Alligator mississippiensis: one gene and its partners. The main gene of each other region encodes a partner of the protein of the gene in region 2 in a complex. Links are inferred from orthologs where the notes say so. Each region holds a gene or a part of one and is shown on either strand. Other genes may lie near its edges. The genes, in order: EXOSC9, EXOSC4, EXOSC7 and EXOSC1.

Region 1 (7,749 bases), on a different chromosome or scaffold from region 2:
TGGTTCAAAAGGTTGAAGTAAGGACGGGAAAGGTTTAAGTTAGATTGGGATCCTGGTAATAGACACTCATATAGATACCATCATATGGTGCACCGATGAAAAATGTGAAGATGTACGTTTCAACTTTAATGCCTTTGTCCTACTATATTAGAGACCACCATGCAAGGCCAACATTAGCATTAGAGAGCCATCCTTTTCTGGAGAGGAGATTTAAGTGTGAGAAAAGTGTAAAAAATCCAGTTGAATAAGCAGTTTATGTGAACTTGAATCTGAAAGCTGAGGCAGCATACTTTAGCTTAATAGGAGCTAGTGTTTTAGGCACATGGATTTTTTTTGTACCGATGTATCGCAGAATCAGTGGGGAGAATGGTCTAATTAAAACAACATTAAAAGCAGAAGGCTGTTCAGGGTGATGCATGGAGCTAAACAGGAGTTAAAGATGAAGGGTGTTCCAGTGCTAAAGCTGGGACATTAAAAAAAAATTCACAAAACCTGGTAGAAAGGAGCTACAATAGCAGCAAAAGATCTTTACAAGATCTTTGTCGTAGTCTACAAGCACAAGAGAGGAATAAAGGGTAGAAACACTAGTATGTAAAGATCACCTGTCAATATGTTCTACCTTTTGTTGAGAAGGAATGTTTGTCTTTTGATAAAGTGCTTCTTGGAAAAACTATACTAATAACTAGGCTCCCTTTGTATTACATTTTAGAGCAGTTTTTTGTAGTAATTAAATACCTCATCTAGCACTTTCAAATATTTCTCCAAAGCAGCTGTTGTCAAGTAACTGCTGTTTACATACAGGAAAAAGGAGGAGCAAGGGAGGAAAAAAATGCCAGTAACACTTGCTTTATTTGCTCACGAGAAAGGAAGGCAAGTTGTGAATTTCCAAAGGCAAACAGGTGCATGTATACTGCTGGCCTTTAAACAAGAATACAAACTTAGGGTAGCAGCCTCAACCTAAAGAAAGGGACCAAAAACCATTATAAATGCTTAGAACAGAAAAATACCACATCTCTGCAGTAAAAGATCTGAACTAACTAGCGATAAAGAGAGGTTGTTAGCTGTGTTAGTCTGAAGTCAGACAGAAGGCAGGGCAGAGTTGCGCCATATAGACAACTAATTCAGAAATACGCATGTATAAGGTGCAACTCCACTATAATTTACAGATATTTGCTTCTGTAGGAAAATACCATATTTTCTTGCATATAACCCACCCCTTCTCCCAAAAAAACAGCTGAGGAAAATTGGGGTGTACCTTATATGCAAAGAAAAGGGATGCCCATGGGCCTGAAAATTTGGAGAAGGGGAGGTAGAATGTTGGGAACCTCTCACCACTACCTCCCCTACTATAACATTTCCAGACCCACAAGGAACTTCCCTCTCTAACCACACACCAGATCAGACAGGCACTTGGGGTTGGTATGCAGCCAGACTTGGTACACCAAGTCCAACCCAGCACATGGGCCCAGACGCAACATGCCAGATCTGATCCTGTGTGCTGGGTCCAGAACAATGTGCCAGAATGGACCCAGTATGCCAAGTCCCCATACTGGGTTTGAAGCCATATGCTGGCTCCAGGGCCACACATTAAGTCTGACCCCATGTACTGCCTGGGACTGTATACTAGTTCTAGCAAGCATGTGGAGTCGGACTTTCGGCCCAAGATCCAGTGCATTAGGTCAGTCCACAGACCCAACCAGCATGCAGGGCTGGCAGCAGTCCCAGCTCCCAAGCTGCTGCCACTCTTACCTCTTTCAACAAATTTTTCTTCTTCAGGTTCCCCTTCAAAGGTGAATACTATAAATGAGGGTGTGCTGTATGAGAAAAAATACAGTAGCCTGGTGTTACCTACTTACATTTATGCTAGTGAGTAGAGGTGCACTGATAGATCAGCACTGATAAAAGGAAAATTTATGTTATTGGCAATCAGCTTTTTTTGGCTGATGTGGCTGATGTCACCAATAAATGCCCCATGCATGCGTGCAACTGCACGCATGTGCACAGTCAAGAATGCAGCCTGGCAGCTTGGAGAGTAGCATCCAGCTGGTAAGTCTGTAGGGGAAAGGGCATAGGCAGATTGAGGCCCCCACAGCAAGGGAGGGAATAGGGCAGGGGCAGGCACTGCCCAGCTTGGGCAGAACACAGGACAGAGCCATGGGCGGCTCATCCAGGGGGTGCAGGTCCCACTGCTGCATGCACCCCTGGGGGAGGTATAGGGGCATGTGCCTCCTGGATTTGTGTGCGGGTTGAGGGCAGGATGCCCACTGCAGGATTGATGCTGGGGGCTGTCTGTGCTGGCCTCTTCCCAGCGGAAGGGGCTAGGCAGGAGCTGTGGGCAGGGTGGGCAGGGGCAAGGCAGGCAGCAGGGAATTCTGGGGTTGACATGCCCCCCATGTTTCCTCTGAGGGTGCGAACAGTGGTGGGAGCTGCTCTCCTCCTGCCTGGATAAGCTACCTGTGGCTCCATCTTGTACCCCACCCTGGCCAGGCAGCACCTGCCTCAGGCCCTGTTGCACTTTCTCCCTCGCTGTAGGGGCCTCGATCTGCCCTCACACAACCCTCCCCCCCTAGACTTACTGGCCAGATGCTGCTCTCCAAGCTGCCAGGCTGCATATTGGCTATCAGATCAGTATCAGCTGATATGGCTGGTAAATAATTGGCATCAGCCAAAAAAATCTTTATCAGTGCACCTGCACTAGTGAGAGACACCAGGGGTCTGTGCAATTATGCAGGTGGAGCAGCTCCTATTGTTTTTAACAAATTATTTTAGCAGTATAAGGATAAGAGTATTAATGGAGTATTGATAATGGGTATTAATAAACCCAACCATTTTGGATTTATAACTAATTAATTATAAACCCAAATCAGTAACACATCCTTTTCCCCCACACATGTATGTATTTTTCAAGGGCTATAGGATTTGCTTCCTCTAAAGTCTGCATAGCTGTCTTGAGGGTGACTACTGTAATATTCCTAAGGTTATACTGTGTTGGCTTTTTCATTTTAGTAGCTGCAGGAGCTGCATGGAGATGCCAGTTTGATCAGCCTTTAGGATGGGCTCCATCAGTGCACAGGGCAAATGCTTGGTTACATAACCATTACTTATTCCAAAAATATCTTGAGGGTCTGGTAAATGAGTTATTCCAAATACACATTTAATTTATACAGTTTTTAGAACCAATTTTCAGAAGTAAAGACAGAAGATTAAGGGTTAGAAGAGGCAGGTTTACTAGCAAACGTTTCTAAGGCTGAAGAAAAATTACAGATAGAAGGTTTTGGTTTTATTTATAATACAAGTTATGACAGGACCACCATTAATTAATATGGCAGCCCCTTGCAGAAAAGGACAAAAAATTTTGCACGAAGCCTGACACTTGCCAAAAGGGTTAAAGGCAACTACGTTAACAGCAGCAGCTCAGGATCCACCTGGCTCTCTGGATGTATCTTAAGGTAAGTAGGCATGCAGCTGAATCACTGCAAGAGGCAGCTTAACCAGCTATTCCTGGAGCTGCTTGCCTGGCTCAGCAGAGAGGAGTAGAAGTGGTGTGAAGTCCTGGATTGCCATGCAGCTCATGTTCACTGTGGTGCTTCCTTGTGCAATTCAGGTTCTCAAGTGTTGCCCCCCCTGCCCAGGCACAGCTGACCGGGGGTGGGGGGAAACAACTGGAGCCCTCGTTTCTCCAACAGCAGGAGCAATGTGTCCTCCTTGGGCTGTCCAGCTGCCATATCCTGGGCAGTTCCTGAAGCATCCTCCTGAATTAAGGCAATCAGGACTCATAGTAGAGAAGATATCTTTTATTAGACCAACAAGATGTTTGCAGAAAAATTGCAAGCCACTTAATCCTTTAATCCTTACTAAACACAAAACGCCCACATCAGGCATTGGAGAAGATTGTAAAAGTTCTCCTGGGTAGCAATGAAAGTTTGTATTTCCTAGGATTTCACAGAGGAGTCAACAGATGGAAAACTCCTAAGCGATGAACTGACTGCCCAGAGTTTTGACTCCTCTGTGAAATCCTATGAAATATGAACTTTCATTTCTACCCAGAACTTTCACAATCTTCTCCAATGCCTGATGTGGGTGTTTGTGCCCGGAAGCTTGCAATTAAAGCTTTTTTTTTTTTTTGCAAAAATCTTGTTGGTCTAACAAAAGATATCACCTCGAGTAGAGTTCTGATTGCCTTTTCCTCTATACCAATATGGCTACAACCTGGAGACCTGACTCCTGAACTAACACTCAGGAGTTAAACCTGCTATGTCAACAGGCAATGTGAATCGGCAGGGTGCTGCCATGGACAGGGATAGCCCAGCTCTCCTCACTAATATAACTGACACAGAGGCGGGCATGCCCACATCAGGACAGCAAGTATCACATTTTTTTTGTCATCATAGAAAATGCCGGTTGGGAGGGACCCCAGGAGGGCACCGAGCCCAACCCCCTGCTCGAAGCAGGACCATCCCCAACTAGATCATCCTGAGCCAGGGCTTCAAAACCTCCAAGGACTCAAGAGGCCACGACCTGTGCCAGCGTTTCGCTACTCTCCTGAACAAGCCCCTCGCCCACGGGCCCCGCCCCGCAGAGAACAGGCTCCGCCCCAGCCCGGGGGGTGGCGGGAGCACACAACCCTTAGCGTCGCCCCTTCTACAACTCAGTGGGAGGGTGAAACGTCTCCTGTGTTTTAAAAGCGGCGGCGCGGCCGCCACCCCCCCGCCCAATCAAAAAGAAGGCGCGGGTCCTGCCGGCGCCTGCGCAGTGGTATCTGTCGTACGGCTGATGACGTGACAGGGTGCGACTGGAAGACTGGTAAGTCGCGCCACCATGAAGGAGACGCCGCTGTCCAACTGCGAGAAGCGCTTCTTGCTGCGCGCCATCGAGGAGAGGAAGGTGTGAGACCAGCCCCCCGCTTTCCCGTCTTTTCCCCCCACTTTTCTCCCCGCTGATTCCACTCTCGGCCTTGCAGCGCCTGGACGGGCGGCAGAGCTACGACTACCGCAATGTGCGCGTTTCTTTCGGCACCGACTATGGCTGCTGCGTCGTGGAGCTGGGGAAGACCAGGTAGCGCCGGGCTGGGGGAGGCGCAAGGAGGTGCATGAGCAGTGGGGCGCACGAGGCTGGGGCAGCTGGGGCCGCGTGCAGCCTCCCTCAGTGACGGGAGCCGCGGCTGTAGGGCCGCGCGCAGCTGTTCGGGCCTGGGAACACGGGGGGCGCATGCGCGGTGCCTCGGGCGCGCCTGCCTGGTACTGCGCGTGCGCGCAGGGCTGCGAGGGGGTTCCTGAGGGCAGCTCCAGCCCCAACCCCTTCTGTAGTAGGGCGGGCTCTGCCCAGTGTTGCCCACTTCGTATCATCCTTCCAGCCCTTGTACTATGTACAATCAAGAATAATAAGCGTTCAAAATGTACAATGATTTTTGAGGCAGCTCACTGATGCAGGATGGGTGAAACCTGAGTCACTCTCAAGGGAGTCTTGACTGACTTCTGGGTTTGCTGTCAGCACTTTCTTATGTCTGCCTGCCTTGAATAAAGAAATGCTGCAGCTTTGACCCAGTTCTCACTTAGTGCTGAGTTACGGTGATAAATATAAAGTAAATAAGAAGAATTATTTGCATCCTGCTGCGGCCGAGGTGGTTAACGTGTGCTGGGAGATCCCCTGGAGAGGCCCTGCTACAGATGAAGGCAGGAGGCCCCTCCATCCATACCAGCCTGACCCTGGGGGGAAATTCCTTCTTGACCCAAATACATCAGTCAGTCTGACTTTTAGCAGGATGAGACCCTCTTAGCTAGGACCTTCTGGCTTTAAGTCCCAGCAAGAGTGCTGGCACACTCCAGTCTCAAACCTCAGCCATGTCTGTAGCCAACTCCTGGTTCCTCTGAGGAGCGCATGGTGGGGAAACAAAACCCTATCACATCTGAGTTGTCAGTGACTTGGGGCATTTTTACATGTGCTGTGGGATGCAGTGCCAGGAACTTTAGTTAGCAAGCTGCTCTAATTGCATGTCATGTGTATTGGTGTCCCTGCGCTGAAAGAATGGCAGCTGGGCGCTTTGAAATAGAGCTCATTGGACATGTTTTATTTCAAAGCACCCTGCCACCATTTTTTAGTGCAGAGATGCATGGCAACGCTGATGCACGTGACTCGGAAGGCTGCTGGAGTGTGTCAGTTTCCACGCTCCAGCAGACCTGATTGATCGAGCCTGCTCTGACATGCTGGATTTCCAGTGCATTGGAGCAGGCTCTGCACACATGTATAGGAGCCCTTGGAGACACCCTCGCTCCCTCTTACATTGCCAAGTGCTATGTTACCCAGGTTACAAGTAGCCTTGTGGATAGACTGCTGCTAAAAGGGGCAGAAGCAAGTCTCCAGGCCCACTTTTTATTTGCTTGTACTTGAAAATGCAAAAGCAAATGTTTATCCCAAAGTCTGCCTGGCTACCTCTGGCAGCATAGTATAGAGTCTCACTTATACCAGCTGGGGAGACGTAAGAGGCAGGAAGAGGGTGGCACGCAGATTGGCAGCAGGTCTTTTTGAATTTGATGAGTTCTCCAAATTTCCCTCCAGCTGTACCCAAGATTTACAGGTGGCTGGTTGTAATAATCTAATAAATGATTTCTGGTTGGATTGGATCTAAAGATCATGTCTCCCCCCAAAAAGTCCCTTGTGTAATAGTGCAAACATCAGTGGTAGTGCCAATACCAAGTTAAACCAGTACATGAGGTTTTACAGGATTGAAGCTAGCAGTTACATACCCTTCATGGGTGTATGGGGTTTCACAGTGTATTTAGTTGTAAAGCAGGCATGTGTAAACAAGTGTTAACATAACTTTGGATATTTAATATCCTACTTGTGACTTTGTACAGTAATCTCAAATGGAGCTTTGCAGTCCCCTATAGATGGTATCTCCATTTTTCATGCGGGGGGTGGAGGGGGGGAATATGAAAGATACAAAATTTGGTAAATTCTTCTAGCTCACAGTGAGAATAAAAGCTACATTTTAAACTCCACATAGCACTCTACTGCCTAGTTTCTGTTAGTGCCCTAGTAATGGTTACCTTGAATACATTTAGCTGTCTTGCTTAAAAAATAAACTGAAAAAATTGGGAGGTGTAAAATACAACTCATGTATGTTGTGCAGTGTTTAACTTCTTTCTGTCTTCATTCTGAAGCCTGTGCTTCTGGGGGTGATTTTCTTTTGCAGAGTCCTTGGACAAGTCTCATGTGAACTTGTTGCCCCAAAGCCAAACCGGGCTACAGAAGGTATACTTTTCTTTAATCTTGAGCTCTCTCCAATGGCTTCACCAGCTTTTGAGCTGGGCAGGTACGTGGCTTTTGCTGCAGTGACAGCAGGTAGGATTGATATAAGGATGACCATGGTGTCATTGTTCTCCCTTATTAATAACTCACAACTTAAACATGTGCATATTATGTCTTCTACAGGCAGTCTGAATTGCTGGTGAAGCTGAATAGGTTATTAGAAAGATGCCTAAGAAACTCAAAGTGCATAGATACTGAATCTCTTTGTGTTGTTGCTGGTGAAAAGGTATGAAATACTCTGAAATCCAGAGCTTTTTAACATTAGGGGTTTAACAGGTTGCATATAGGATTTGGTTTCTGTTGTCTCTTGAACAATAGTTCCTATGTTTGTTTTAAAGCTCTAGCCCAAGTGACTTGTGCATATGTAGCTCTAAGCATGTAGTTAGTGGGCCTATGTAATAGTAAATGTTTGTAGGAACAGAATACTTTAACTTTTTACTT
Region 2 (6,749 bases):
GCCGAGCGCCCGCGCCGCAGACCGAGCAGTCGAGCGCCGAGCGGCCCCGCGCCCCCCCGCGGCAGTGCGCATGCGCGCGGCTGCCGGCAGGGGGCTGCACGCACCACCAGGGGGAGCTGCGCGGGCCGGATGACATCATGCACGCCCATTCCCCGGCTCCCAGCCGCTCCCCTCGCCCGGGGCACTGCGGGGCCTCCCCCCGCGACCCCAGCCCAGCCTTGCGGGGCGCGAGAGTCCCCCTCCACGCCCAGGACCCTCAGAGCCCCATGCTCCCCAGGCCAGGGAGGCCTGCACTTGCACACTGGGCAGGCGGCACAGCTCTAGGGACAGGTTCAGGAGTGATGCTGGAGCCCCCAGGCACGGCCGGGCTGGTCCAGGCAGGTGCTCACTCAGCCCAGGCCGTGCACAGCGAGGCCGGATCGAGAGGGACCAGCAGCACCCGGGCTGGGTGTCCCCATTTCCCTGTGGCCCCCCAGCCTTCCCCGCCGTGCACAGGAAAGAAGAAACAGCCACAAGTTGCACCAAAATAACACTTTATTCAGAGCTGCTTGTCCAAAACAACACCCACTCCTACCAGGGGACTGGCCTGGGCTCCCGGCACGGCCCATGAGCCACAGTAGCCCCCCGCCCAGGGTGCAGGCCCTGCAGGCAGGCACCTCCCGCCAAGGCCCAAAACGCAGGCCGTGCCAGAGCGCAGCGGTGGTGCCCGTCGCCCAGCGAGGGGCACCGGGGTCCGTCTCCACGCGGCGAGGGGACACATCCCAGTGCTGGCCCAGCGTCCCCGGGGCTGAGGGAAGGGCCCGTGCCCAGGAGGCAGCAGTCAACCCCCACAGGCCTGGAGGCAGGTCAGTGCCCCCCCCCCGGGCGCTCACTCCCCCAGCAGCGTGGCGACTTCCCGCACGTGGTCGCGCACCACCTGGTCCAGCACTGCGTGCACGGCCCGGCAGGCCGCGGTGGCGGCGTCCAGGACGCACTCCAGGTGGTCCTCGTGGAGCCGCGCGTTCATCTCCAGCAGCGCGATCTGGTCCGACTTGGGCAGCAGGGCCAGGGCCACCTGCGGGCCCCCGGCCGCCTCCTCCACGTAGTTGAGGTCGGCCAGGGCCGTGTCCTCCACGAAGCCGGCCGAGCTGGCGCACACGTAGTCCTGCATGGGGATGCCGGCGTCGATGACGGCCAGCGTGGCCGCGTTCACGCAGGCGCAGTAGTTCCCGCCGTCTGCCTGCAGGATCTGGGGGGGGAGAGCACAGTGGGTGGGCCCGGCTGCACGGCGCAGAGCCCGGCCCCCCGCCGGGAAACCTCCCATCCCGCGCCCGCGCACACCTGCACGTAGATGTCGATCTGCGAGCGGGGGTAGAGCTGGGTGAGGATGGCGGCCTCGAAGGTCTGCTTGAGGTGCAGCGTCATCTCGCTGGACTTGCGGTCGCCGTGGGGCCGGCGCTTGCGCTCGCCCGTGCTGAAGGTGGCCATGCTGTACTGGCAGTTCACCAGCGCCCGGTCGTGCAGCGCTTTGCTGCGGGAGCCGCGCATCTGCGGGGACGACGGGGTCACGGGCCGGACCCCCCCAAGCTCTGCCCAGGGGTGGGGGGAAGGCCGCCCGTGGTTGGGTGCACAGAGATGCAGGGGCTGCTGCATGGGGGGGGGGGGGGCGCTCCCAGTAAAGCCCCTGGATGGCCTGGCCCTAGTGCCTCCCACCCCTCAGGCTAACCAGGAGCATCACCCTGGGGGGGCAAGGGAGGGGGCAGGACCCCTGGGGCCCCTCCCCGCCCCAGGAGAGGGTCTGATGGGGGGCAGGACCCCTGGGACCTCCCCGCCGTGGGGGGTGTGATGGGACAGGACCCCCGGGGGGTCGGGGGGGCCCACCTCGTGCGGGCCGTAGACCACGGCGAGCGCCTTGGTGTTGCCCTGCTCGATGTAGGCCGAGCCGTCGGCCCGCGCGAAGACGCCCATGCGGGCGCGCAGCTTGCGCAGCTCCCCGGCGCGCCGCCCGTCCGCGCGGAAGCCCTGCTCCGACAGCAGCTCCAGCCCCGCCATCGGCCCGGCCTGCCCCGCGCACTACGCTTCCCGGCCTGCCCCGCGCCGCCCCGCGCACTACGCTTCCCGGCCTGCCCCGCGCCGCCCCCGCGCACTACGCCTCCCGGCCTGCCTCGCGCGCGCGGCGTTGAGCGGGAAGGAGGGACGCTCCCGGCGTGCCCCGCGGCGGCTGCACGTGTGGCGGCCGCGCCCCCTTCGCAGGCCCCGCCCCCCGCGCAGGCCCCGCCCCCGGCGCGAGGCGCGGGGCCGGGCGCTGTGGGGACCGGGACGGTGCGGGCGGTGCTCGCCATGTCCGCGCCGCGCGCCGCCGGGTTCCAGTTCGCCATCGACCGCGGCGGCACCTTCACCGACGTGCTGGCCCGGGGCCCCGCCGGCCGCGTCCGCGCCCTCAAGCTGCTCTCGCAGGACCCGGGCCGCTACCGCGACGCGCCCACCGAGGGCATCCGCCGCCTGCTGCAGGAGGTGGGCGGCGCGGCGCGGCGCGGAGCGGCGGGCGGGAGCAGCAGACAGGACCCGGGGGCAGCCGTGCCACAACGGTCCCCCCCCCCCCGTGCGTGCAAGCCGGGCGCTCGGAGGCTGCGGAGTGTTGCCCCCCCCCCCCGTGTGCGACGGGCTTTGGCGGGGCGGGGCGGGGCGGGGGGGCAGGGTCCCCGGGGGTCTCGTCCAGCCCGGGGCAGGGCAGGGCAGGGCAGGGCGGGGCGGCCCCCGCGCAGCTGCTCCCCTGACGGGGCGAGTTGCTGCAGCCCCTGCGCCGTGGGGGGGGCGTGGTGCTCTCTGCCACGCTCGCTGTCGGGACGGGCGTGAGCCCCAGAGACAACAGGCTCAGCTCGTGCCTCCCCGCGACCCCCCGTCCCTGCTCCTGCGGCCGCTCCGCATCCTCGTCCAGGTGTCCCATCTCCTTGCGCTGCTGCGGCCCCAGGGGTCCGGCCCCCGGGAAGGTGTTGGTGCAGCTCCTTGGGGCGCGACCTGCTCCCTCCTGTCCGTGCCTCAGTTTCCCCATCTGCAGCATCAGGGCCGAGGTGCTGGCGCTGATGGCTCCCGCGGGGGCAGGAGCGAGTTTGCCCGCGGGCACCAGGCGCTGTGAAAGCGGGGGGCTGCGGGGACTGGCGTGGCCGTGATTTGCTCCCCTCCTCCCCCCACGCAGGAGTGCGGCGTGCCCTTCCCACGAGACCAGCCCCTGGACACGTCGCGCATCGAGTGGATCCGCATGGGCACGACCGTGGCCACCAACGCGCTGCTGGAGCGCAAGGGCGAGCGCATCGCCCTGCTCATCACCAGGGGCTTCCGTGACCTGCTGCACATCGGCAACCAGGCCCGGCCCTGCATCTTCGACCTGGTGAGTCCCAGCCGCACCGGCGGCACCATGCCGCGGCCCGCACCTGCATACGGAGGTAGGAGACCTGGGGAAGGATGCTGAGGGGCTCGGACGAGCTTCCCTAGGAGGAGAGTCACGAGGCCAGGTCTGGCAGTCTGGAGAAGAGACGCCAGGGGGGGCAGGAGCAGGATTTACGACGCGCTCAGCGGGGAAGAGGGAAGTCAGTAACAAATCCCAGGGACCGTCTCCGTCCCCGACAGGAGTGAGGGTCACGCGTGGGCTGAGCAGGCGGAGGTTTAACACCAGCTCAGGGAGGTCTTTCCCCTCCCAGCGCAGCATTAAATGGGGGGCTCGTGGCCCCAGGGGTGGTGGGAGCCAAGACTTCAGCCACGCTCACCAGGGCTCGGACACGTGCGTGGAGGAAAGGGGCATCGATGGGTGGCTCTGGGGCAGGGAGCGAGGGGCACGGTCTCTGCATCGCCCTGCCTGGAGCTCAGTGCTGGGGGCTGCAGGGAGAGGAACGGGGGAAAACCCTGCTCAGCTCCGGTCGCTCTCCGTCCAGCTCCGCTCCCTGCCCCGTGGGACACAGGAGACAGGCAGGATGGACTGGGTCTGCCCCAGGCTGGGGCAGCTCTGGTGTTCTTGTGACTGCTCCCCCTGCCCCCGGGCTCCCTGTGGGTCTGTTGCAGCTTCCGTGGCCTCGCGCGGGACTGCAGGTGCCTCTGGAATCGGCGCATGGCGCAGCGTCGGTTTGAATCCCCCGTGGAGGCCCTGTCCCCCCTCCCCGAGCCCCATTCCTGGGCAGGCAGGTGGGGTAGGAGCAGGGGGGGGCAGGCATGGCCCTGCCTTTGTGCCACGGCTCATAGCTCAAGTGCGAGGTGTCGCAGCCGTCTGGGCGCCCTCGTGGACCCGGCACGTGAATCCCTAGGGCACTGGCCTCGCCCCGTGGGGAGCAGGAGCCGCAGGCTGGCCCCTGCGCGCTCAGCCGGAGCAAACGCCCTTGGGAACCGGCCTCGGAGGGGTTGGTGCCGGGAAGGAGCTGGCACCGGATTCCACTGCTAATCCCGGGGCCCCTGTGCCTGCCTCCCTTTATTTGCACTTGGCCGGTGACACGGCCACGTGGCTGCAGCTGCTTTGTCCTGGCCAGGCTCTGCCCTGAGGGTTTCCACCTCCCTCTCGCTCCCTGGGGCTTCTGGATGCCCTGCCTGAGCCTCTTCCCCCTCCCCTAGTGCCCTGGGAAGGAGCTGGAGTCTCCCCCCAAGCCCTTTGTCTCCAGACCCTCTGCAGATGCTGCGCTGCTGGACTCCCTGGAGTCTGATGGGGCCGGCGAGTGGGGTTGGTCATTCCCTTGGTCCCTGGGACGTAGCTGGACCTGGTGCTCTCGTGATCTGGGCTTGTGCTGTGGGGGGCAGTAGCCCAAAGCAAGACACTGCAGAGGGTTTGGGGGGCAGGGGTCACCCTGAGAGAGCCCAGTGTGGTGGTGGCCTCAGAGCCTGCAGCCTGAGAGCTGAGCCCGGCGGGTCGGTGTCAGGCTGTGCCTCAGACGTCCTGCACGGCCTTGGCAAGTCCCACAGCCGTTCCCAGGGCTCATGCTGGTGCAGTGACTCTGGCCTGTCAGCGGCTGAGCTGACAGTCTCAGTCCAGAAGCTGGGGAATGTGGGGGGAGCCACCCCCAAATTACCCTGAAACAGGAGAGCTCACAAGATGGTGGGGATTGTATGTCTGGGGGGAGTGAGCACCCCAGGCTGGTCCTGGCACTGGGTGAGAGCAGGGGACCCCAGCCTGGGCTTGGGCCCTGGCAGCTGGGAGGGGGGCAGGCCCTAGTGGAGGGGCCAGCAGGGCAGTGTTGGGGGGCAGCCCTCTGTGCATGGCTGGTCAGTGAGCTGTGCTGGGGTGGGCAGTGACCGTGTCCTGTCCTGCCCCCATGTCGTGCCCAGGCGGTGACGGTGCCCGAGGTGCTGTACGAAGAGGTGATCGAGGTGGATGAGCGCTTGATCCCGCACCGTGCCGACTGCCGGCTCCCCGGGGCTGACACGAGTCAGCGCCTCCAAGGTGGGTCCCCAGGGTTGGTTTGGGTGGGAGCAGGCAGGCTGGGCCAAGGCAAGGGTGTTGGGGAAGGCAGTCTTTGGTGTACGAATGGGCCCCTCTGACCTGGCTCCTGCCCACTCCAGGCTCCACGGGGGATGTCCTGGTGGTGCAGCAGCCCCTGGACCTGGCCAAATTGCGGACGGAGCTACAGGGGCTGCTGGCTCGGGGCATCCAGAGCCTGGCTGTGGTGCTGCTACACTCCTATGCGTGAGTCCCTGCGGCGTGGGCACTTGGGGTGGGCAGCGACAGTTTGGGAAGGAGCACAGGGAGCTAGGGCCGTGCCTGTGCCCCGACCTGCATGCCTCTCCATGGCAGCAGGATGGGTGCTGGGGCTGCCTTGCCCACCTCCCTGCTGCCTCTGGCAGGTGCCCAGCCCACGAGCAGCAGGTGGGTGTGCTGGCCCAGGAGCTGGGCTTCCAGCACGTGTCACTATCCTCGGAGGTAATGCCCATGGTGCGAGTGGTGCCTCGCGGATACACAGCCTGTGCCGACGCCTACCTCACTCCCTGCATCCAGCGCTACCTCCACAGCTTCCGCGCCGGCTTTGTCCGGCAGCTCCAGGTGAGTACAGCTCACCACAGCACCTCAGAGCTGCACAGCGCTCCTCGCCCTTGCCTTCCTATGTGGCTGGACCAGTCTGCCCCATTCTGTGCTCCTTGGCCCTGTTCCACATGACCCGGCACCTGCTATAGACTCCTGCCCCCCCGTGCTGGGGCACCCCCGCAGCTCCCCGACCCCAGCTGCTCCCTGGCTGCCCCAACAGGACGTCCCAGTTCTCTTCATGCGCTCCGACGGGGGCCTGACTCCCATGGACCAGTTCAGCGGCTCCCGTGCCATCCTGTCTGGCCCGGCTGGCGGCGTTGTGGGCTACGCCATGACCACCTATAGCCACGAGGACAGGCAGCCCGTGATTGGCTTCGACATGGGAGGTGTGAATTGCCACGACTGGGGGTGACTGCTGGGTTGGGGGTCAGGGAGGTGTCTTGGCCAGGCTCCTGGGGGTCCAGTTTCCCCATCCCCTGGCCCTGGCCCTGGCACTGGCTTGGAGTGGGAGATGGTGGTCAGGGCTGAGATATCGGTGCCAGGGGGCAGGGGCAAACATCTGACCCATGCCCCCCTCCAGGCACCTCGACGGACGTGAGCCGCTATGCTGGGGAGTACGAGCACGTCTTTGAGGCCACCACGGCCGGGATCAGCATCCAGGCTCCGCAGCTGGATATCAACACTGTGGCGGCTGGCGGGGGCTCCATGCTCTTCTTCAGGTGGGGTCACTGGCTGCCCCGGCGGTCTCCTGGCTAGATCCTGCTGCCACAAG
Region 3 (7,147 bases), on a different chromosome or scaffold from region 2:
TTGTAACCTACCCCTGCTACCAGCTGGGGCCCCACACTGGTTCCAGGCTCACCCGTCGGGGCTGTGCCTTGGTGGCAGCAGCTGCAGCCCCCCCTGCTTGCTGAGCCGAGCGGTGTTTACCACCACTGCCTCTGGGCTGCCTAGTGCGGAAGCTCTGGGCAGGGGGCGGGGTGGGCACAGCTGCTGCCACTGTGCACAGCCCCAAAGGGCAAGCCCAGAACTGGCGCGGGACCCAGGCTGGCAGTGGGGGTGGGTTACAAGCTGGTGCTGAACGCAGCACCAAGGGACAAGAGTGGGGACAAGAGGCCCCTCCCTCACTCTGTGCCTGATGCCCTGCACCACAGCTGTTCACAGTCTGCGTGGGGCTGCCTTTGCCTGCTCAGGACAGCTCTGTGCGGGCTGCAAGCAGCTGCAGCAGGGAGCACTGCCCATGGGGCTGGGGAGGGACCACTTTTCTCCAGGCTCCTTCCCTGCCCTCCCCCACACCCCTTACCTGAGGTTCTGGCCAGTGCAGCCACATGGTCCCAGGTCAGAAGCCCCTGCTGGGGCAGGAGCCCACTGGGCTTCCCCTGGGACCTACTGGCCCTGGTTCCAGTTACTCTTGACATGAACTAAAGACAGATAAATATTAATTTTCTAAATTTTTTAGGAGCCCCATGGGCTGGATAGAATGGCCTCATGGGCCGGATCCGGGCCATGGGCCATATTTTGTCCATCCCTGGTCTAGCTCCATCCTCTTTGGAACCACCCTTCAAGTAGTTAAAGGCTGCTATAAAATCCCCCCTCAGTCTTCTCTTCTGCAGACTAAATACACCCAGCTCCCCCAGCTTCTCTTCAAGTCCTGTGCCCCAGCCCCCTAACCATTTTCACTGTCCTCCACTGAACTCTCTCCAACTTGTCCATATCCTTTCTGTAGTGGGAAGCCCAAAACCGAACACAATACTCCAGAGGTGACCTCACCAGTGCTGAAGAAGCAAATAATCACTTCCTTCAATCTGCTGGTAACACTCCTACTACTGCAGACCAGGATGCTGTTAGCCTCCTTGGCAACAAGGGCACACTGTTGGCTCATATCTAAATATACATAAAAAGTGGGATAAAAATGTATGTTGAGAGGTTTTCACCTTGTAGACTCACGAAACTGGATGCGCACATGCATGCATGTGCATACATACTTTGGTGAGTCTACGAGATGCAGGGTGAGTCACATATATTTCTACTATGCCTGTAATATATTTAGCACAAATCTACCCTGCCTTTCATGTATATTTAACACAAGCTTTCATGAGCTAAAGTGCACTTTTATCAGACACTGTGAAAAGTAGAGGTGCACTAATATATCAGCTGCATTTCAGATTGGCACCGATAAAAAAGAAGTTTACATTATCAGCTATTGGCTTTTTTTGGTCCGGTGCATCTGATAAAGTTCACTGATAAATATAATAATTATGCCTTCTGGCCAGGACTCCCTTACGCCGCGTACATATGCATGGCCACACGCATACACATGGCCAGGAATGTGGCCGGGCAGCCTGGAGAGCAGCTCCCTGCAAGTAAATCTATGGTGGGCGGGAAGAGCATGGGGGAGGGAGATCAAGGCCCTCATGGTGAGGGAGGGAGTGGGGCAGGAATTAGGGATGCTGCCCAGCCAGAGCAGTGAATGGGACCTGGGGCAAGGGCAAGACGGAGCTATGGGTGACTCGTCCAAGGAATGTGTGGGGGGAGGGGTGGGATGGCTCCCCATCACTGTGCAAGCCCCAGAGAGGGCATTGTGGGGTCATGTGTCCCTCCAGATTTGTGCGTAGGGCGGATGCAGGCTGCCTGTTGTGGGCTCAGGGCTCTCTGCCCTGCTGCCTTTTCCCCAGGAGCCCTGCACCTCCCGGCAGCAGTGAGGGTGGCAAATTGTGAGGCCAGCGTGAGGCTCCCAGGCAAAGGCAGCAGAGTGGAGAGCCCCGAGCCTGCAGTGGGCAACCTGCATCCAACCTTGCCCTGCTTGGCTCTGCTCTGGGCTTAAAAAGGGTGGCAGTGGCACTTGAACTAAAGCTCATTTGATGAGCTTTAGTTCAAATGCCCCCACCACCATTTTTCAGCACTAGGATGCTGATACCCTGGACAAGCCACTTGCGGCTCTGTCCCACTCCATGCCCCAGGTCCTAGTCACTGATTTGGATGGGCAGTGCCGCAAGCCCCAGCCCCGCTCCCTCCTTCACCTTGGGGGTCTTGATCTGCCCCGCTCCTTCCCTTCCCCTCCAGACTTACCTGCAGGGCGCTGCTCTCTAGACCACCCAGCTGTGCTCCTGTAAATCACTTATTAAGTCAGTAACATCCGACATGCCTGGTGAATAATTAACTATGGGTAACAGCTAATAAAGTCTTTATTGGTGCACCCCTAGTGAAAAGCCTGGCTTCTTTTTCATAGCACTTTATGAAGCACACTTCAGCTAATGAAACCTTGTGATGCCTAGATGTGAAAGGCAGGGCAGCTTTCACCAAAGCAAGCCTACCTATGCCCACGTGCACACACACAGGTTTGTGAGCCTTCAAGGTGCACAGCCCCGGCGCCCTCCCCCACTATTTAGCGCACCACCGCCCTCCCTCACAAGACAAAGCCCAGGACTGCAGAGAGCAATCCCCTGCGCCTAAACCAGTCCGCCCACGGGGTCTCTTCGCGCCCCTGAAGGCCACACGGAGTGAGAGCCAGGAGCGGGCACCTCCATGGGGCTGGGAGGGGGGAAGCGGCGCTCCGGGAGCAGCGAGGCGGAGCTACTGGGGGAGGGGAGCCCGTTACCTGGATCCCGTGCACGACATAAACCTTCTCCGCCTCGCTCAGCACCACAGACGCCATGCCCCGCGCCGGCTCGTAAACACTTCCGGCTCACTGCGGATGCCGTCATCAAAACGCAACGAAGTTCCTCGAACCCTTGTCAGCCGACGTGAGGCACAGCATCGGGTGTACGTAACTTCCACCCCGTGACGCGTGGTGGAACGACTGACGCCCCCTGCGTCACAGGCTCTCCCGCCTCAAGGAACTGTGAGGAGTGAGGCACTAACTGGGCGCATGCGCAGGGAAAGTTGAGGGTTTGCGCATGCGCATCCGTGTTACTTGGAAAAACGTATGTGCGTATAGGTGGCGGCTGAGCACACGCGGTTTACCTGCCTACCACCGTAATGGCGCATCGTAGTCTCTGAGCGCTAATCCACTGAGTGCATAACATAGAAACCAGTGTGAGAGCCTGCAGTGCTGGCTGGGCAGGCTCAGGGGGCAGTGCAAGATACCACATTTACCCAAAGAGCCCTGTTTACCCTGATCTTAGATCAACACAGCTACCCCCTGCAGCTATGCACAGCAGCACTCAGCTTGTCCCTGTCTCTGGAGGGGGGACAAGAAATGAATCTTAAGCCAGCAGCTTCACCTGCTGCATCTCTTGATGGAGGTGCAGCCTGCACTGAGTCACGGTGCGGGTGAGTCACATAGAAGGTGCATGCGTGCACACACCCCAGGGACACTGAAAGAACATGGTGATTACAAAGACAATGCCTCAAAGTGGGGAGATGGCAGAATTTTAACACTGATGCAGGAGATCCTATGGGTCACCTCATTTATGCTTCTCACAGGTCAGGTAGTCTAACTGATTTCCTTCTTGGGTGTTTCTTGAGCCCTGGTCAAAGGGACTTGTATTTTGGACATCTAAAGACCTTATATAATAGGGGGGTGGGGTGTCCAAGGTGTCTCAAACTGGGGGGACCTAAAAGTAGTAAATAGGTCTGACCGTAATTTCTCAGACTTGGTTCCTCAGTGATGGAACTGGGGATAATAATACCCAATAATTTCCTTAAAATAAGTTCATTTAAGCATACCATGCGCTTACATGCCATATGCAACACTATAGCAGCTATAGGAAGCCCCCTTTTTTGAGTCCTAGTGACAAGGTATTTAGCAGAATTTGCAGTTTTGTTGGAATATGACAGGGCTGCGCCATAAGCACTTCTGTTATGGCCTACAGGAAACCCTAGATGGAAATTATGGCTCTGTCTTCAGAGCAGCGCTTGAATTGGGTGTGACAAATCAAACACAGGGATTCAAACTGAACTAAAAGGAGAAGTAGTGAATAGCTCATCCAATGAGCTCTGTCTTTTTGGGTACTTCTGCTTCTCATGTCGTGTCTGAGGTTGTTGATGAGAGGTATTTAGCTGAATTTGCATGTTCATTAGAATCTGGCAGGGCTGCAATGTGAGCACCTCTGCTATGGCCAGTCTGCTATTTTGGGCACGGGATGAGGCAGGCAGTCATCTGGAATACATAGTATAGAACCATAGAGCAGTAGGGCTGAAAGGGACCTCCAGAGGTCATTTAGTCCAACCCCCCTGCCTGAGGCAGGATCGTTCCTATCCAAACCACCCTATACAAACCATAATCTAAACTCTACGTAAGACTACCATCAACCCTGAAGGAATACAGACCCAGCACCCTAACCTGGCACAGAAATGTTCTCAATGTAGATTCAAGAGATTGGGACTAGAGGGCTACAGAGAAAGACAAACTTCCACAGTCCAAACCAACCTGATCATGGGGTAAAATTCCTTCCTGACCCCAAATATGGCGATCAATTTGACCCTGAGCAGAAGAATAAGATGCTCTAGCCAGGAAGCTGTAATTAGAGCTAGTGACTGTCATAACGATACAGGCACCATCGGGCTGCTAAACTGAGCTTCGACAGGTTACCTTCATTCGGAATTTCCTACATTTTGAGCATTTTGACTTTGCAACCTTAACATTCTTTTAACATAGGGTTTTTTGAGGGGGACATCATGTATGTGTTTTTTTAATCTTCAAGGAGTAGCATACTGTGGTTAGCATTTTTGTGATACTGTCAAAAGAAGCTTTCTTATCTACTGAGCATGAGCAAAGTGCAGTATTTCAAAGGTTTAGAACTTCAGTGTTGGCAACTCATGATTTTTGGCGTTGCTCTTAAAGTCTATGCTTTGGGGATGCGAAAACCGGGGGGGGGGGGGGTGCGCGTGCGTGTGTGTGAGAGCTAAGGTTTTTGTATTCCCAAACCCTAGACTTTAACAGCAATGCCAAAAATCATGAGAGTTGGCAACACTGGAACTTGGCCAGCTTTGGGCAGGTTTCTCACAGTGGTTTTTCATCTCCTTCCCCCAAATCTGAGGGACAGAGGAGGTTTCAAAGAAAAGGTTGCCAGGTTCTGCATTTTTTTTAACATGGGCCAAACAGCAATATGTATTGTCCTTCCCTATTGTTCTTACGAGTTGCTGCTAAGAACCTGGGTGTAACATGGGGGCATCCATGTGCACAAACCCATGTGTGTTTGCACATACGTGTCTATTTTTTGTTTCCCAGGAGCACCTAAATGAGTCAGGGATGCTCCTGCCTTTGAGCAAGGGGCTGGACTACATAAACTCAAGTGGTACCTCCACATGATCTTAAATGCTCCAGTGCAACTGATCAAGACTCCATTCTACTAGACACCATCCAGCCAGAAAAGCCAGCCCCTGCTTGACCGCTATTACAATTTAAATAGAATTTTATCTTGCTCAAGGCCAAATCTGTTCCAAATTCAACAGGGCAAGGCCCAATAGTCAAGTTCCAAAATTCAACTGAGCAGAACTTAATCGGCAAGTCTGTGTGGCTCGACCACAGAGCAAGTATCCTCCCTCCCAGACTTATCTGTCTGGGGCTTTGGATATTCCCAAAATCCAGGCAGGTGTCCTATGTGCAAGCTCCAGGCCCAGAAGCCCCAGGTTCAAATGCCCCCATGTCCCACTTGATCTTAGCCAAAAGGCCAAGAAACAATATTTAAATAAATACAATAGCAGGTAAGGGGGAAATGCAAGAAATAAGCAGAATGGGTCAGGCACAGCCATATTTCCTCAGGCCTTGTATTGCTTGTGGGGGAAATCAACAGAGCAGTTAACACACATCTTCTTGCAGCTTCAGAGCCCTGCTCTAGCCTTGGGGAAGCTCCCAGCTCTCAATGGACTCTTAGTCCCTCAAGCTGGGGAGGCAGAGACAGCTGGGTGTGATGCTTGGGCAGCTGCATCAGGGCAATGCCTTCCTTGCCATACACAGCTCTGCCACGAGGCTGTCTGCACCTGAGCCCAGGTGAGGCCTTGCTGCTGTGGCATCCAGGCAAACAGGTCCACAGAGGCCAAGAGGACATGGCTCCGGCCATGATGCAAATGTGGTCTCCTTATTCCTGGTCCCTTGTTCCCGGTTCCTTTCTCAAAGCTAATCTTTGCGCACTTAAAGGTCGGGAGTAATGAATTCAGTGTGCTCAAGAGTTTGATTTTCCCCCAAAATGTCTGTTGACTAATTGAAATGTAAAATAATATTAAGAACATAGGCCTGAATGAGGAGCTGAGAGGAGGCCGTGGGGCATGTAAAATAACATCACCTATGTCCCGTGGGCTCCTTTTAGCTCCTCATTCAGACCGACATACTTGATACTATTTTACATTGTGATTGATTTGTCAATAGACACTTGGATGCAATTCCAGCTCTGGAGTGGATCGAATTCATCGCTCCGGACCTCTAGCTGCGTAAAGATGAGCCTGGGAACAGGGACTGGGAGTAAGAGACTGGAAGCAGCATTGCCAGGTTTTAAATATGACTGTATTGTAAGCTCAGAATTACTGCATTTGCTGAACAATTATGCAAACAAGTCTTTTTCTTATTTACTTTGCATTGCATTAAGTGGCCAGGGAGGGAGCGCAGAAGTGGATCATCTAAAGCTGAAGCATTTCATTTCTACCCCTACCGCCCAGCAAACAGCCGTAAAAAAAAAGAAAAGTGCTGACCCCAAACCCAAAAGTGGGTCGAGGCTCTCTGAGAGCAACTTGGCTCTTCGATACGCGGCATCCAGGTCCTTTTTTGTGCCCGAAAGCTTGCAATTAAAGATATTTTTTTTGGCGGGCTAATAAAAGACACCACCTCTGCTACGAGTCCCGATTGCCTTTTCCTGTAGGCCACTGCGGCCAGGACCCGGCTATCGGGCTTTTGGAGCGCGTAAGCTCCCGCGGACCGCGCGCGGGGGCCAGAGGGGGAGCTGCGGCCGAGCTGACAGGGCAGGGGGAGGCGCCACCGCCGCCGCGTGGGGCCGGGCCGGGCCGGGCCGGGCCGGGCCGG
Region 4 (7,054 bases), on a different chromosome or scaffold from region 2:
ACCCCACGCCTGGCCCGGCCGTGCCGCCAGTGCCACCAAGCTAACCCAACCCGCTTCCTGCCGGGACCAGAGGGCAGCACCTTCGCTGTGCCCACCCTGCACCCAGGAGCCCCCGCCACACAGGAGGGAGCAGGCAGGGCCCAGGCACGTGTCGCACTCCACATGCCACCAGAATAAACACGTGTGTTTTGGTACAGCAGCGTCAGGGTGTTGGCAGGCGCCGTCAGACCGGTGGGGCTGTCAGGTGGCCCTTGCGGCGACCTGCTGCCTCCCCATCCTTCCTGGCTGCAGTTCGCGCCCCAGGGCAAGGTCCCTATTTCTTTGCTCCTCGGAGGCTGCTGAAGCACCAGTGTTTAGACCAGCAGGTCCAAGCCGGCCCCTCTGCGGAGCTCCACACGGAGCCCAGCTGGACCATGGGCCTGTTCAGCTAGGCTCCCCTGGGCCAGACCAGGCAACAGCGAGGAGGTGGCCGCATTGGTTAAAAACGGGTTTTATTTGACACAAAAAACCCAGGGGGGCGGCCAGGCAAGGCCCCCTCTGCAGCAGAGGTGCTGGTGGGGCCGTGGCCTGTGCAGCCCCGTGCACCCTCCCAGGGGCTGCCTGCAGCTCACGAGGGGCAGGAGGGGGCAGAACAGACATCCGCGTTTGGACCTCAGGGCTCCGGGCACCGAGGCTGGGGAGGGTCTGCGCTGGTGGTCAGATGGCCAGCAGGGGTGTGTGCCGCTGCGTCACGCACGGGGGTGTGTCCCAGCTCAGGCCAGTGCCGTGGGGCAGGTGCGTGGATGGCAGCAGGACGCGGGTGAGCCAGTGCCTGGGAAGGATGCAGCCCATGGTGAATGCTGCAGCCTCCCAAAGCCACAGCCCTGGGCCCCCTGCACCAGGGTCTTGGGCTCGGCCTAGAGCCCCCCTCACCTGGGCACATCCACTCCGAGGAAGACCCGCCAGTTGTCCCAGGCGCCGAAGCTGTACGGGTTCCGGAACGCCTGCGGGAGCAGAGACGGGGAACGTGACGGTGACTGACCGTGGCCGCCTGCCCCCCAGGCTCCCTGCCCCCCAGCTCCTACGCTCACTTTGCCCTTCTTCTGCAGCCGCTGCCGCTCCTTCTTGTTGATGTGTCTCTCGATGCTGGTCTCCCCGCGGGTGATAAGGGCCGCGTGCCACAGTGTCAGCGCCCCCAGGGCCAGGGCCACAGAGCTGGGGGCAGGTGGAGGTTGGGGTCAGGGCACTGAGTCCAGGCAACCTTCCCCGCTCTGCGCGCCTGGCTGCATGGAGCTGCCTGCTCCCAGGGCCCAGCGCCCCCGTTACCTGCACAGCACCCACAGGTAGACGATGCTCTTGTGGAAGGCGCGCTGGCGGAAGGAGAAGGCCGGGGGCGGTGTCTGGTAGTAGGTCTGCAGGGAAGGACAGGTGGTTGGTTAGGCCCGTGGGGGCGGCTCTGCTCCCTCAAACCCCACCAGACGCCCCGAGAAACCAGGACCAGCCAAGAGGACCCTCCCCCGCCCCGCGCGCGCGCACACAGAGCAGACGGACACTTGGTGAAAGCAGCGGGGCAGCAGGGCAGGGAGCAGCTGCGTGGCAGCCTGGGGCATGAACCCCGCAGGCAGCAGGCAAGAGCCACGAGCTGGGGCCTTGGCCCTTGGGGCAGCTCCGCGCCCGCAGGCGCAGCAGAGCCCAGGCGCAGGCACATGCGAAGCAGCTGCCAAGGCCCGGCCTGCTGGCCCCGGGCGCGGGGATGTCCCACCTGGTTGGCGGCTGCCTGCAGGCGCTCCTTCTCGAGCTGTTTCATTCTCTGGGGGGATGGAAAACACGGCGCAGTTACAGGCCTCACGGCACAGGCGCCCCGGGGCCAAGAGAAGCCCAGGGCCATGTCTGCCTCTCCCTCTCTGTCTGCCCTGGAAAGCTGGAGCGCGTGCAGGCCGAGGTCGTGTCACTCACCTCGATGGCCGCATAGGCCTCACGGAACATGTCCCAGCCGCTGATGCTGCAATAGATGCAGCCCATGGTCATGAAGAGGCAGAAGGAGAAGAAGTAGCGGTGGTTGTAGTGCCCCACGCAGTTGTTCAACCAGGCTGCCCCGGATTAAAGATGGGTAACAATAGGAGGGGGCACCGCGCCACACCCCTGAGCCGGGCTGCCGTGGCGCTGCTTGGACTCAGTGGGGCAGGGACAGCCCCCCGCCTGCCCCCAGTCTCAGGCAGCTGCAGCTCCATCCGGCGCCTGCTACACCTGGTGCGCGGGGACCTGGAGTCTGCACCTGAGCCCTGCCCCTGGCAGCCTCGCCAGACACCCCTTGGCTCCAGCGCCATGTTCCCCAGGGGCCCTGGGACACAGCCCCCAGCAACACCAGGGCTCGGGGCTATGCTGCCCCTCCCACACGGTCAGCCCCAGCGCTCGGTGCACCCCAACCCCCCGACCCTTTCCCAAGAGCCAGGCTCCCTAGAGAGGGGCCAGCCTGGCCGGTGCTGCAGAAGGATACGGCAGTGATGGTCCATCTTGAGCACGCACCTGTGAGGAGAGTGGACGGCTGTGAGCGCCTGCCGGGGGTCTGGGGCGAGAAGCCACTGCAGGAGGGAGGGAAGGGGGGCGACCGCGCTGTGCTGCGGTGGGGGGCCTGTGGGACGCGGGTCCCTACCTGTTGCAGATGCTGCAGTGGTGGGTGCGCGCCGGCTTGGGGGCGATGCACTTGCGGCAGATGGAGACGCCGGTGAGGTCGCCCTTGGCCTGCAGAGGGAAGGGCGGTCGGCGCTCGAAGCGGGCCCCCCCGGCCCCCCCAGCCCCCGCGCCCTACCTGCGGCGGGTAGCCCGGGGCGGTGGTGATGGCCATGTAGTAGTGGAAGACGATCATGAGCAGGTTCCAGTGGCCGTAGCTGAGGTGCCAGCAGACCCAGGCGGGCGCGTAGGTGCGCAGGATGAGGGGCAGCAGGCAGACGTAGACGATGGCCACCACGGAGCTCGTCAGCACGATCACCAGCGCCACGAACGCCTGCGGGAGCAGCGCCCGCGCTAGCCCCGGGGCCTGGGCCGGCCGCCCCCCCGCCCCCCCGGCGCACGGCACTCACCACCCCGAACCAGCGGGTGACGTGGTCCACCAGCCAGTACACGGGCTCGAAGAGGGCGTCCAGCACCACGTCGCCGTCCGTGAAGGAGTTGTACAGCAGCGAGCGCAGGCTGAGCCGCCCGTAGCTCCACAGCTGCGCCGCGCGCCGCGCCAGCCGCCCCCGGCACCGCCGGCCCAGCCGCAGGCACCGCAGCGCCAGGCGCATCGCCGCCGAGAAGGTGCGTCGCCGGCTCCTCATCCCTGCCCTGCGCGGGGGCACCCGTCACGGCCCGCCGCGCCCGAAACCGGAGCCGCGCGGCGCGGCGCGGCGCGGGGGGGCAGGAGCTCGGGTGAGCCGGCCGGGGGGGGGCGGCAAGAAGTAGGGGGACAAGGGGGGGCTGGAGCTCAGGGGATGAGGGCTGGGGGGGAGCGGGGGGGCAGGGGCTGAGGGGGCAAGAAGTGAGCTCAGGGGACAAGGGGGGGCTTGGGGGGGCGGGGGGACAGGGCTGGGGGGGCTGGAGCTCGGCGGACGAGGGGGGGCTGGGGGGTGGGGGGATGGGCTGGGGGGGCTGGAGCTCGGGAGACAAGGGGGGGCTTGGCGGGTGGAGCTGGGGGGCGGGGAGACGGGGCTGGGGGGGCTGGAGCGGGGGGTTGGGGGGTGGAGCTGGCGGGAGCAAGAGCTGGGGGGCCAGGGCTGGGGGGGAGGAAGCGGGGGGGGCAGGGCGGACCCCACGCGCGCGGTCCCGGGGGGTGCGAAGGGCAGACACGCGCCTCCCCCCGCGCTGGCCCCGCCCCCGGCAGGCCCCGCCCCTCACTCACCCGCCGCCATCCCGGCCCGGCGGCCCGGCTGTCAGCGGCGCGGGGCCATCGCCGCTCGCATTGCGCCTGCGCGGGGCTCGGCGCGCAGGGCCCGTCGGGAACTTCTCCAGTGCGAACTGCAGGTCCCGGCGGACCCCGCGCGGCGCTTGCACGTGTGGGATGTCACGTGCCGGACCGGGCCAATAGTGCGTCGGCTTGCAGCGGAGCGGGGGATGGAGGCCAATGGCAAGGCGGCTTTTATTTCTCGTAGCGACGGCGCGGAGCAGACATGGCGCCGCCCGTGCGCTACTGTATACCTGGTAGGTGTCGTCCCCCCTCCCCGCCCGACAACCGGGGCCCGCCCTTCATGCGTCCCCCTCGCTAACCCCCCGTCCCGTCCCCGCAGGGGAGCGGCTGTGCAGCCTGGACGAGGCGGCCGCGGGCAGCGGCACCTACACCCGGCGCGGGCACGTGCACTCCGCGCTGGCCGGGGCTCTCCTCGCCCGCGACCTCGGCGGTCCGGTGAGCGGAGCGGAGCGGAGCGGGGGGCACGGCTCGGGTCCCAGCCTGCCGCGGGGACCCTTTCTGGGGGTGGGGGGGCAGAGTTGGGGTGAGAAGCTGGGGGTGCTGGGGGCCGAGCTGAGGTTCCAGGTTGGCCGGGCCCTGGGCCTTCTCTCCTGGCTGCCTTGAAGATGAGGGGGCCCGGCTGTGCAGAGTGGTGCAGGAGCCGCATGGGCTGTGGCTGCGCTGGGGCTGTCTCCGCGAGCGGCTCCAAGCTCACGGGGCACGTCCCTCCTGCCTGGCAGCTGCCCGTGGTGTCCGTGGTGCGAGACGCCGAAGCCCAGCTCCTGCCTGACGTGGGCGCCATCGTCACCTGCAAGGTAACGGTAGCCGAGCGCCCAGCCCGCTTGGGTGGGGGGCAGGTGGGGCTGGGCTTGCCCCGTGCTGCGGGTGGGCAGCCCCCGTGCCCGTCTCCCCGTCACGGGCTGGTGCAGGAGCCGTGTGGTTCAGCCCCGGATCCGTCTGGGTCCCGGGGAGCCCCTGCTTCCCACCGAGGGCTGCCCCCGTAGCCAGCCACGGGGCTGTGGGCTCCCAGTGCCCTGCTGGGGGTCACAGGGCGGTAACTGATCCGCTCGCACTGGTGGCTGGGAGGACTGGGGTGGCAGGAAGGATGCTGGGCTCCTTAATCTCTGGAGCTGGGGTTGCTGGAGCCGTTGGCTTGGGGCAGAGGCTTTGCACGGGGAAGAGCTGGCTTCTCTGCCAGTGCCCAGGCGCTGGGTCGCTCTGGTCCAGAGGCTGATGGGCGACGGGGTGGCGGTGCCGTGCTGGGCTGGGCTGATGCACTGGTGCAGGGGCAGGTCCTGCACCAAGGTCCAGGCTCTGCTGACCCAGCCGTGGGCCGGGCCCTGTCTCCCTGCAGGTGTGCAGTATTAACTCCCGCTTCGCCAAGGTGCACATCCTGTACGTTGGCTCCACGCCCCTCAAGTCAGCTTTCCGCGGCACCATCCGGTAGGCCCTGGCCTGGGTCAGGACTCCCCACCCCTTGCCCTGCCCCTTCCAAGGCAGCTGGCCCAGCTTGGCGGCTCTGGGGTCTCCATCTCTCCTTCCCCCCACACCCAGGCCCAGCCTCACATGCACCCGGGGGCCTGCAGCGAGGTCCCACAGGCAAGCCCAGGTGGGCAGCGCTGCCTGCGGCTCTAGGGGCGGAGCAGGCTGCACTCCCAGTGTTAAGCTCCCCATCTCCCCTTACAGGAAAGAAGACATCCGAGCCACGGAGCGGGACAAGGTCAGTGGTGTCCTGCCTGTGCTGGCAGCGTATGACAACTGGCATCTGCCCCTCCTCTCACCGCAGCCACAAGGATGGCCGGGGGGAAAAGGGTGTTGCTGACCCAGAGGGTCCCAGCCATGGCTTGCATCCCTCTGGGGGGAGGTGGGGTCCAGTGAAGGGGGGAGGGTCTATTCCTGTGGAGGCCTGGACTGCCTGGGGCTGCTGTCAGGTCCTGGGGCTCAGCAGCCTCCCCCATGGCTCCTGGTACTCACCCCAGGAGCCGGTGGCCTCCCCCACCCCCTAACCAGCCCATGCTCTGCGGCAGGTGGAGGTTTACAAGAGTTTCCGCCCAGGGGACATCGTTCTGGCTAAGGTGGTATCCTGCCCTCACTGGGGTGCGCGAGGAGGCAACAGGGCCTGGTGGGACTTCCCTCTCTCACGGGTGGGGGGGTGTCCTGCTCGCCCAGCACATAACCTTGCAGGCCAGAGCCCTTTCCTTGACCACCGGAGCAGATCTCGCTGGGTGACGTGCAGTCCAACTACCTGCTGAGCACGGCCGAGAACGAGCTGGGCGTGGTGGTGGCCCACGGCGAGGCAGGTATGAGCGGGACTGCGGCTCCAGCAGCATAGGCCCCTTCAGTGGCTGGGGTGGGCTGAGCTGTGTCCCCTGCTCCCCAGGCTGCATGGGGAAACAGGAGGAGCTCTCCTGGGCTCTCGGTGACACTGCACTGGTCCCTAGGGGCACGGCTGGTGCCCATCAGCTGGTGTGAGATGCAGTGTCCCCGGACGCATACCAAGGAGTTCCGCAAAGTGGCCCGTGTGCAGCCCCAGTTCCTGCAGACCTAGGCTACCCCGTGCCCCCCGGCAGGATTACCTGAGCCAGGAGCCAGCCGGAGCCCCCTTCACCGAAGTACCTGCAGCATCACCTGGACTGGTGCCCACGTGCGCTGGGCTGGGACTCAGGCCTCCACCAACACCTGCCAGGAACCGGATGCAGCTCTGGCTCCCTGGGCCCTGCCCGTCCTGCCCCCAGGCAGGATTTTAGATTCCCAAGCTGTGAACAATAAAGGCTTTCCAAACCCCTCCCCTCCTTGGTGATTCCCAGCCCTGAGTGGGGGCAGGGTTAGAGGTTGCCTGGGAGAAGCCGGTTCATGGCCCTGCTGGGGTTGCAGCCTGTGCCAGCACTCCTGCAGCACTTCCTGGGCCGTCTACACCAGGGTGTGGGGAGCAGTGGACTCCTGGCTTCCAGGGCTGGGGCAGAGAACAGGCAACCTCTAGCAGCTGCAGGGTCTTCTAGCCTGGGTCTGTTGCTGTGTAGAGGATGGCAGGGGCTCAGTGTCCTGCGGCTGTGAAACCTGTGGGTCCCCCCCAGGCTGGACCAGGTGGAGCTGCTTTGCAGTGAGTCTGCCCTCCCCCCACCTGGTTGGAGCAGCAGGAAACAATGGTGGGCA

Evidence for each region.
Region 1: EXOSC4 (region 2) and EXOSC9 share a complex: the UniProt entries of both Homo sapiens proteins name them as parts of the RNA exosome core complex. The link is inferred for Alligator mississippiensis from reciprocal best matches to the Homo sapiens genes EXOSC4 and EXOSC9.
Region 3: EXOSC4 (region 2) and EXOSC7 share a complex: the UniProt entries of both Homo sapiens proteins name them as parts of the RNA exosome core complex. The link is inferred for Alligator mississippiensis from reciprocal best matches to the Homo sapiens genes EXOSC4 and EXOSC7.
Region 4: EXOSC4 (region 2) and EXOSC1 share a complex: the UniProt entries of both Homo sapiens proteins name them as parts of the RNA exosome core complex. The link is inferred for Alligator mississippiensis from reciprocal best matches to the Homo sapiens genes EXOSC4 and EXOSC1.

The regions. Positions count from the first base shown.
Region 1 is NC_081825.1:114,556,079-114,563,827, forward strand, and holds the start of EXOSC9 (exosome complex component RRP45), read left to right. Parts: upstream 1-4,735; 5' UTR 4,736-4,818; coding exon 4,819-4,884; intron 4,885-4,960; coding exon 4,961-5,055; intron 5,056-7,192; coding exon 7,193-7,312; intron 7,313-7,431; coding exon 7,432-7,534; intron 7,535-7,749. UniProt on the Homo sapiens protein: Non-catalytic component of the RNA exosome complex which has 3'->5' exoribonuclease activity and participates in a multitude of cellular RNA processing and degradation events.
Region 2 is NC_081826.1:912,169-918,917, reverse strand, and holds EXOSC4 (exosome complex component RRP41), read right to left. Parts: upstream 2,081-6,749; 5' UTR 2,032-2,080; coding exon 1,861-2,031; intron 1,528-1,860; coding exon 1,321-1,527; intron 1,229-1,320; coding exon 869-1,228; 3' UTR 517-868; downstream 1-516. Other genes in the region: OPLAH (5-oxoprolinase), read left to right, coding at 2,320-2,493, 3,176-3,367, 5,284-5,398, 5,518-5,641, 5,800-5,995, 6,198-6,363, 6,558-6,696. UniProt on the Homo sapiens protein: Non-catalytic component of the RNA exosome complex which has 3'->5' exoribonuclease activity and participates in a multitude of cellular RNA processing and degradation events.
Region 3 is NC_081828.1:136,669,028-136,676,174, reverse strand, and holds the start of EXOSC7 (exosome complex component RRP42), read right to left. Parts: upstream 3,017-7,147; 5' UTR 2,846-3,016; coding exon 2,789-2,845; intron 1-2,788. UniProt on the Homo sapiens protein: Non-catalytic component of the RNA exosome complex which has 3'->5' exoribonuclease activity and participates in a multitude of cellular RNA processing and degradation events.
Region 4 is NC_081829.1:100,691,125-100,698,178, reverse strand, and holds EXOSC1 (exosome complex component CSL4), read left to right. Parts: upstream 1-4,053; 5' UTR 4,054-4,124; coding exon 4,125-4,155; intron 4,156-4,241; coding exon 4,242-4,357; intron 4,358-4,641; coding exon 4,642-4,716; intron 4,717-5,255; coding exon 5,256-5,344; intron 5,345-5,587; coding exon 5,588-5,621; intron 5,622-5,928; coding exon 5,929-5,979; intron 5,980-6,116; coding exon 6,117-6,201; intron 6,202-6,342; coding exon 6,343-6,449; 3' UTR 6,450-6,686; downstream 6,687-7,054. Other genes in the region: palmitoyltransferase ZDHHC16, read right to left, coding at 697-811, 913-983, 1,071-1,194, 1,306-1,391, 1,742-1,789, 1,936-2,069, 2,477-2,505, 2,633-2,721 and 2 more. UniProt on the Homo sapiens protein: Non-catalytic component of the RNA exosome complex which has 3'->5' exoribonuclease activity and participates in a multitude of cellular RNA processing and degradation events.